Sus scrofa: one gene and its partner. The protein of the gene in region 1 interacts with the protein of each later gene in a biochemical or structural test. Links are inferred from orthologs where the notes say so. Each region holds a gene or a part of one and is shown on either strand. Other genes may lie near its edges.

Evidence for each region.
Region 2: the proteins of HSPG2 (region 1) and FBLN2 form a complex in vitro, tested with the Homo sapiens proteins (2 studies listed by BioGRID). The link is inferred for Sus scrofa from reciprocal best matches to the Homo sapiens genes HSPG2 and FBLN2.

What each region holds. Positions count from the first base shown.
Region 1 is NC_010448.4:79,878,277-79,881,785, forward strand, and holds part of HSPG2 (basement membrane-specific heparan sulfate proteoglycan core protein), read right to left. Parts: coding exon 3,459-3,509; intron 3,313-3,458; coding exon 3,160-3,312; intron 3,082-3,159; coding exon 2,939-3,081; intron 2,622-2,938; coding exon 2,486-2,621; intron 2,406-2,485; coding exon 2,248-2,405; intron 2,075-2,247; coding exon 1,930-2,074; intron 1,213-1,929; coding exon 1,043-1,212; intron 958-1,042; coding exon 810-957; intron 391-809; coding exon 245-390; intron 62-244; coding exon 1-61. UniProt on the Homo sapiens protein: Integral component of basement membranes. Component of the glomerular basement membrane (GBM), responsible for the fixed negative electrostatic membrane charge, and which provides a barrier which is both size- and charge-selective.
Region 2 is NC_010455.5:70,827,622-70,831,567, forward strand, and holds the start of FBLN2 (fibulin-2), read right to left. Parts: upstream 2,810-3,946; 5' UTR 2,696-2,809; intron 1-2,695. UniProt on the Homo sapiens protein: Its binding to fibronectin and some other ligands is calcium dependent. May act as an adapter that mediates the interaction between FBN1 and ELN.

The DNA of each region.
Region 1 (3,509 bases):
AAACATACTCGCCTGCATCCGCTGGTGAGGCCTGGAAGATGTAGAGCCGGGAGCCGCGGACCTAGACAGCCAGGGGCAGCAGTGTGAGAAGGGGGCTTCCCAGAGTCCAGCAGGCGCCCCCTACCCCGTTCCTCTGAGCTGGGAACTGGGTCCCTTAGCTCAGGGGCTGTCTGCTGCTCCCATCCCCACCCACTGTCCACAGCTCGGCCAGCTGGCCCCCTCCCACCTTCCTGCCGCTGTGTACCTGGTGCCGGGCAGGGAGGCTGCCTCCGCGTTTGTACCACGTGACCTGGGCGTGGGCCTGCCCTGCCACCACACAGTTCAGATCCAGCGTCTGCCCTTCAGCCACGGTGGGGGATGAGGACTCGATCCTGACAGGCGGGATGGGTCCTGGGGCAGTCGGGAGAGGGGCGAGGGTAGTAGGTGCCCCCCAGAAGAGAAGGCAGCTCAGCCTTGTGGCTGTAGTGGCCTGGGCTTGGGGTCCTGAGCAACCCTGAGGGGCGGCTGGGGCGGGAGCCAAGGCTTGCCCAGGGCATGAGGAAGCGGGAGAGATGAGGGTAATTGAAAATTAGGCTGGGAAGGAGGAAGAGGAGGCAGGAGCAGAAACACGAGAGACGTGGCCACAGAGAAGTGATGGGAAGATGGCATCAGAGAAGCGGCGTCTGTCCGGGCCAGGCCCTGTGGCCAGTCCCAGCGTGGGCTTCCTGCCACCCTCTTCCTCATGTCACCAACAGGAAGTCACCAGGACCTCAGCACCTGGGAAGGCTCTCAGCCTCCTCCAGCTCACCTGGTCACCAGCAGTCACTTACTGGGGATGGAGCCAGTGCCAGAGTCAGACGCCTCAATGGTGACCAGGACGGAGCTCTCCAGGGGCCCAGAGCCAAGGACTACGCGGCACACGTACTCGCCTGAGTCGGCTGGGGACACCTGGTGCAGCCGCAGCCTCGAGCCATGGGTCTGAGTGCAAAAGGGAGGGTTAGGAGGGGGCCGAGGCAGCCCTAACCAACCCCTCCAGCAGGCTGGCCCTGGGGGTCTGCTGTACCTGGTGCCGGGCAGGGAGGCTGCCCCCACGCCTGTGCCACGTGACCTGGGCGTGGGCCTGTCCGGGCACCACACAGTTCAGATCCAGCGTCTGCCCTTCGGCCACGTGAGATGAGGAAGACTCGATGCGGATGGGGTGGGTACTGCCTGGAGCTGGGGCTCCACCAGGAGCTGGGGCACAGAGGGGCTGGTCAGAGGCTGGGGGCTCAGGAGAAGCCTTGACCTGGGCCCTGGAATAGGACCAGGCCCTAGCTTGGGAGGGCAGCCGAGAGGCCTTTCTGGGGCTGGGACCACACTTTCCTGCCTGGGCAGGGCCAGCCAGACCCCTCCTTCCCTCCTCAACCTTCACCTTGGTGGTCAAGGCCCATCCGCCCACCCAGGACTCCTGGGTCTGTGACAAGCTGCTCTGGCTTGCAGGGACATAGAGTCCTACAGCACCCAGCTTGGGCCAAAGGATGAAGACAATGGTGCCACAACTTCTTTCAGAGTGCCTGCTGTGTGCTCACATCACAGGGCCGTGGTGCTGTTCCATTTCACACACGAGGAAACTAAGGCCTCAATGGTAAAATCAGTTCAAGGCTGATAAGGAGTAGAGACAGCATCTCAACACAGATCAGCCTGACTCCCAACTCAGGGTTCAACCCTGACTCTGCTGCTTTCAGACCAATTCTGCAAACAGTCCCCCCACCACGGGGTCCCAGGAAAGTCAGGTCAACCTTATCCCCATCGTCAGTCCCTGCATCTCCCCTTGCAGGGAGTAGAGGGTCAAAGCCTGCCTCGAGGGCCTCTTCTTGTCCAGATGTCACCGAAGAGACCACAGGCGCTATCCTTGGGAACAGACGGGAGGTCGGAGGGCTTGGCCCCCAGCCAGCCCCGGCGGCTCCTCACCTGGCGTGTAGGCTGAATGGGTGCTGTGGAGGACAGAGACGATGATGGAGGCCTCCTTGGGGCCTGACTCATTCTCCACTCTGCACACATATTCTCCAGAATCAGCCGGTGATACGTGGGACAGCCGCAGCCGGGGGCCATGCACCTGGGCCAGGTGAGGATAGAGGTAAGTGACAATGGGGTTACCACTCCCGCTGAGCCTCCGGGCCTGGCTCCACGCAGAGCCGGCCCAGGCCAGAAGCTGGAGAGGGAGGAAAGAAGGGCAGGCCCTGCAGAGGGCCGGGCTGCGTGAAGGACCGGGCTCAGGGACCCTCGTACCTGGGCGTGGGGAGGCAGGCTGCCCCCTCGCTTGTACCACGTGACCTGGGTGTAGGCCAGCCCCGTCACCACGCAGTTGAGGTCCAGGGTCTGCCCTTCGGTCACAGAAGGCGACGAGGACTCAATCCTGACTGGCGGCGGGGAGCTGGCACCTGAAGCTGGGGCCAGAGGAAGCGTGAGTGGGCCTCAGAGAAGCCCTGGCCGGCCCTCCCACTCCTCAGCCCCCAAGGCCCCGCACCTGGAAGGACCACCACTTGGATCCGGGCCTGGGCGGTGCCCGCAGGGCTGGTGGCCACGCAGAGGTAGAAGCCGGCGTCGGCGGTTGTGATGGCTGGGATGAGCAGTGTGGCGATGTCGGTGCGTTCAGACCGGGCCTGCCACACAGCAAATGAGTCAGCCGCCCGAGGGCCGAGGCAGGCTGGCAAGGGCCAGTGGGGAGGGCAGGCAGGGGGGAGCCTAAAGAGTAGAGGCCAGCTCAGAGCCAAGATCAGGGCCCCAGCTGGGCACCAAGGAGGGCAGAACCAGCCATCAAAGCAAGAGGCTGACAGCAGCCACCTGCCAGGATGCAGGGAACAGGGCATCTGAATAGGCCCCCATCTTGGAAGTGAAGGGAAGCAGAAGAGGTCGGGGCTGGTGGCAAGTGCTGGGATTCCGCTGAGCCCATGGGCCCGGCCTGGTCAGGCATCCTCACCTGTGGGGGGAGGCTGCCCCCTTCCTTCCTCCAGGTGATGGTGGCGCTGGGCACACCTGCAGCCCTGCAGTACAGCCTGACAGTGCGGCCCTCGTGGACCTGGGTCCTCTCTGGACTCACCTGGACCCTGGGCCCGTTGCCCCCTGCAGACAGATCCCTGTAAGGACACCTCTCTGGGCTGCTGCGCGCTCCCCACCCGACCCTCAGCCCTGCCCTCTCACCGTGCACGTGGAGCACAGCCCTGGCCACATGCTGCCCGGCGCTGCTGTGGGCATGGCACAGATACTGGGCTTGATCCGAGGGCTCGACGGCTGGCAGGCGCAGGATGCCGCCAAGGATTTGGGCCTTCTGAGGGAGCTGGCCACCGGGGCCCCCTGACGTGCAGAAGCAGGGTTAGCACCCACTGGGATTGGCATTGCCAGTCCCCCCGGAGGTTGCAGTCTACATCCTAGAGTCCTGCCCTTGGTCCCCCACATCCAGGACAGCCAGGCCCTGACTGTCATTCTTGCCACAGCCTCACCTGTCCACTCGAGGGTGGGTGTGGGGTTCCCCGTGGCGCTGCAGCGGAACT
Region 2 (3,946 bases), on another chromosome or scaffold:
TCACAGAAGGGAGGGGAAGGCCCTCTGCACCACCTGCGGGGCCAGCCCAACACTTGCCTCCCCAGCAAGAATGAAAACCTCCAGGAGGTACCAGGGGAGGCCAGGGGCTGCCCACCACCTCCAAGTCCCCTGTGCCACTGACAGAACTGGTCCTCATCTGGTCATCAACAAACTTCCACAACACCACTCATCACAGGGACATTCAGGGCACATGAATCCAGCTGCCTACATGTGGTAAACAGAGCCGAGGGTCCCAGGAACAAGGACTTAAAATAACGCAGCAACCGCCACACCCACACCACCCAGAGAGAGGCCACCAAGGAGCGTGAGTGAGAGGAGGAAGCCACCCATCCCTCTGGCTGCGACCCTCCTGGAAGAGCAGCCCTCCACCAGGGCCAGCCGGTGGGGGTGGTGGGGGGGTTGGCGAGGGGACTGCTCCCACCCCAGCCCCCAAGTCCAGGGCAAACAGGCCTCTGACACCCAACAGGACACATGGCAATCCTCCTGAGGGACCCAGGGTCTTCCTCCTGGTGATCCTGGGGTCACAGTCACAGCAAGAGCAGAGCAGGAAAGTGTGCTGGACTTTCAGGCCGTTCCGAAGGAAGCGCAGTGGTCTAGGTCACCAGCGGCCCTGGATTTAGCTTTACGTGGACCCCAGGCCAGAAGGTAGCTTCACTTCCCTGTGCTGTTCCACAAGCACCTACTGCATGTCAGGTGTGACCCTGGTTCGGGGAATTCCCCTGGGCCAATGCGACCAAATACCTCCTCTCATGGACTTGCTAAAGGGAGGGCAAAGAGTTTGGTTTTAGGGTCAGAAAAACCTGCATGGAAATCCCAATTCTGCCCTTTGCCTGCTGAAAGAGCTTTCTGGGTCCCAGTTTCCCCATCTTGCAGAAAGGGGTAAGACTGTGACCTTGCAGGATCAAGGATAGGGATCTGGGGAGAAGGACAAGGCTCGGCTCCAAGATCACTGCCTTGCTCCCTTGGGGCCTCTGCAGCCCAGCAGACACCATCACAAGGATGCCCCACAGTCCAGGCAGATGGGATATGCCCCTCATCACTCCCAACACTAAGGCCTTGAACTGTACAGGCTCACTCAAGGCTTCCCCAGCCATTGGTGAGGGGACTAACTCAGGCCCACTTTGGGGCAAGCAGTGCTGCAGAAAAAGCCTGGGTCACACAGCAAGAGCAGCCAAGCAGAGGTGCACGCCGGCCTGGCAGGAGCCAAGAATGTGAAGCGGTCTCCTGCCCCACCCCAAAGGCAGCAGGCAAGCAGCACTAGCCAAGGGCACCCCGCGGGAATGAGGGTCCTGAGCCTCCAGACCTTGTGATTTTTCAGAAGACGGAAATCCGGACTTTTATGTGAAACCTGCCAATTTGTAAATGCTGGCAGCTAATTAAATTTTTAAAAATAATAATAATATGGTACGAGCCAAGCAAAACATGGGGGCTGGCAGGTTCGCGCCTCCGGAGTCAGAGCCTTTGACTTCATCCATGCCCTGTCCCTCCCCCTCAGCACAGCTCCGGACGCAGGAGGGGAGGGTGGGAAGTCCAGGGGGCCAAAGTTCCCGGGCCCTCCCTTCCTCCTGGTGGGGATTTCACTCCCACTGGCAAGTGGGGAAGGTGAGGCTCAGAGTCCTGACCATTTGGCCGCACACATGTGCCAGGCCCAGGCAGGAGGTTTGCTCTGGGAGGGCCCTGGACCAGCACCCTGATTCCAGGGACTCTGGGCAATAACCAGCACCCAGATTACTTTCTTTTTCCGGCCCATCACGGTGACACCTGCTGGCTCAGACCAGCTTTGGAACGACCCAAGTGGCAGTCACAGACTGAGGTGTGGGGTTAGACCTGGGACAGCAGAGGGAGGGAGGGCACCCCTGCTGGGAGACTGCGGGGGGGGGGGGGACCCTCGGGATGGGGAGGGTGGCAGAGTCAGGCCTACTCCTGCCCCCTGAGCCCCCTCCCTGTGCTCCCCATAGCTGCCCAGGCCCCATTATAAGAGAGCCTCAGCCAAAAGCTACCCCTAGCCTGACTCTGGCCCCACTGGTCAGAAGACAGCACCCACTGAAGGCTGTGCCTGTGGAGGGTGGGGGGGCCCAGATGCACTACCAAGTGGCTGGCATGTGACCCTGTGTGCAAGATTCATGATGTGTGGGGGAGTGTCTGTGACCTCAGGCATGTGAGAGACACGTGTGTGACACATGTGAGAGAGGTGTGTGTGACAGACACACGTGTGTAGCAGACATGCGTGCCTATTAGGGAGGCACACGCTTTTAATAGACACAGCCGTCTGATACAGGCACGCGTGTCTGGGAATCGCCCGTGTGCAGGGCACGTGTGTGTTAAGCATGTGTGCGCGAAAGGGACGTGTGAGGGACCAGTGAAACCAGGGGCGCGTCCCACATTGCCTGCGGGGGAACTTCTGTAGCTGCAGCGCGGGGACGGGTTGGGAAAGGAGAGGAGCGCGACGGCAGCGGTGCCGACCGAGGGCCCAGTCTTCCCTCTCGGGGACAGCGGCCGGGCTCGGGACCTGGTGGAGGTGGGTGGGAGTGGGGCAAAGGGAAGGGGTGATGGGGCCCCAGGCGGGAGGGGGCCCTCCGCGACCCTGCACCCCACCAGGCGCCGGCCAAGGTGTCGCATCTCCCCGCCGGGGCGCCAACCCCACAGGGGCGGACCGGGGTCTGTGTGCACTCACCGCGCTGCGCTCCACTCGTCAGCCCGCCGGCGCGTCTGCCCGTCCGTTTGCCCGCCTGGCCGTCGGCGCGTCGAGAGCTCCGGAGCCCGGCGGCGTCGCGGGGCGGGGCGGGGCGGGGCAGGGCGGGCCGAGGGGCGGGCAGAGCGGGCGCCGGGCCCCCTGCCGCCCTCCCCCCTCCGCCTCCGGGGCGGGGTCTCGGCTGCAGCAGGGGAGGGGGCCCAGCCGCGCACCGGGGGCCGGACGTGGCCGCGCCGCGCCGCGCGTGCGCCCCGAACCCCGCGCCCCCTCGCCGCCCACCTTGCCACCCCGTTTAAACGCTCAGTCTCAGACCCGGCCCTGCCGCCCTTTGGGGGCTTTGGCTTGGTGTTCAGCCAGCCTGGGCCTCAGCGTCCCTTCTGAGAAGATAGACCCGGCCATCTGGGACACTTTGGGAGAGCTGAGGGGCTTGGAAGTGACACTGGCCGGAGACAGGCCTGGCCCACCTCTGCTCGCCTCACTGCCTGCCTTGGGGGCTTCCACATTTGCTCTGGCCTGCTTGCACCCCGTCCCAGCCCTCAGCCTGGGTCTGTCCTTTTCCTCAGCCCACGCAGCTGCTTGTGGCCACTGTGAGACCTTAAGCAAGGCCCTTGACCTCTCTGAGCCTCGTCTGTTCATCTCTTGAGCAAGGATAACCCTGAGCTGTTGGTGGAGAACCATGGAGAACCGCATATTCTCTGCCCACAGCACAGGGCCCAACAGGTGGTGAACACTCCCAAGTCATCAGCTCAACATGTTAAGTACTGTGAGGGGGACCCCCACAGTGAAGTCAGGGTGGGGCATCCAGGGGTCCCCACTCACTGGGTTTGGCAGCTATGGAGCCTGTGCTTGGTAAGAGGCCCCACAGGGAGCAGGCTTACTTCCTTAGGACCTCCCAGGTCCTTTCTCCTGGTCAAGGTCTCAAAACCCCAGACGAGAACCCACTCAAGCAAAGTCTGGCACTGCCAGACTGGGGCAAACATTCAGCACCAGGGCAGCCCTGGTGAAACCCCCTGGGCCCAGCGGGCCTGGACTCAGGCGCAGGGACCCCACAGCCTACACCCTTCCGCACCACTAACTTCAAAGACGGTCGGAACCCAAAGAGATCCCAGAACTCTGCCCTTCTATTTCTGTCTCTCTTTTTAATGTAGTAAAATTCACCATTTAAAGTGTGCAATTCTAGTATCTAAAGCATTCACAGCTTCTCTCTTGTTATCTCCTAGCCACTCAGCCCAC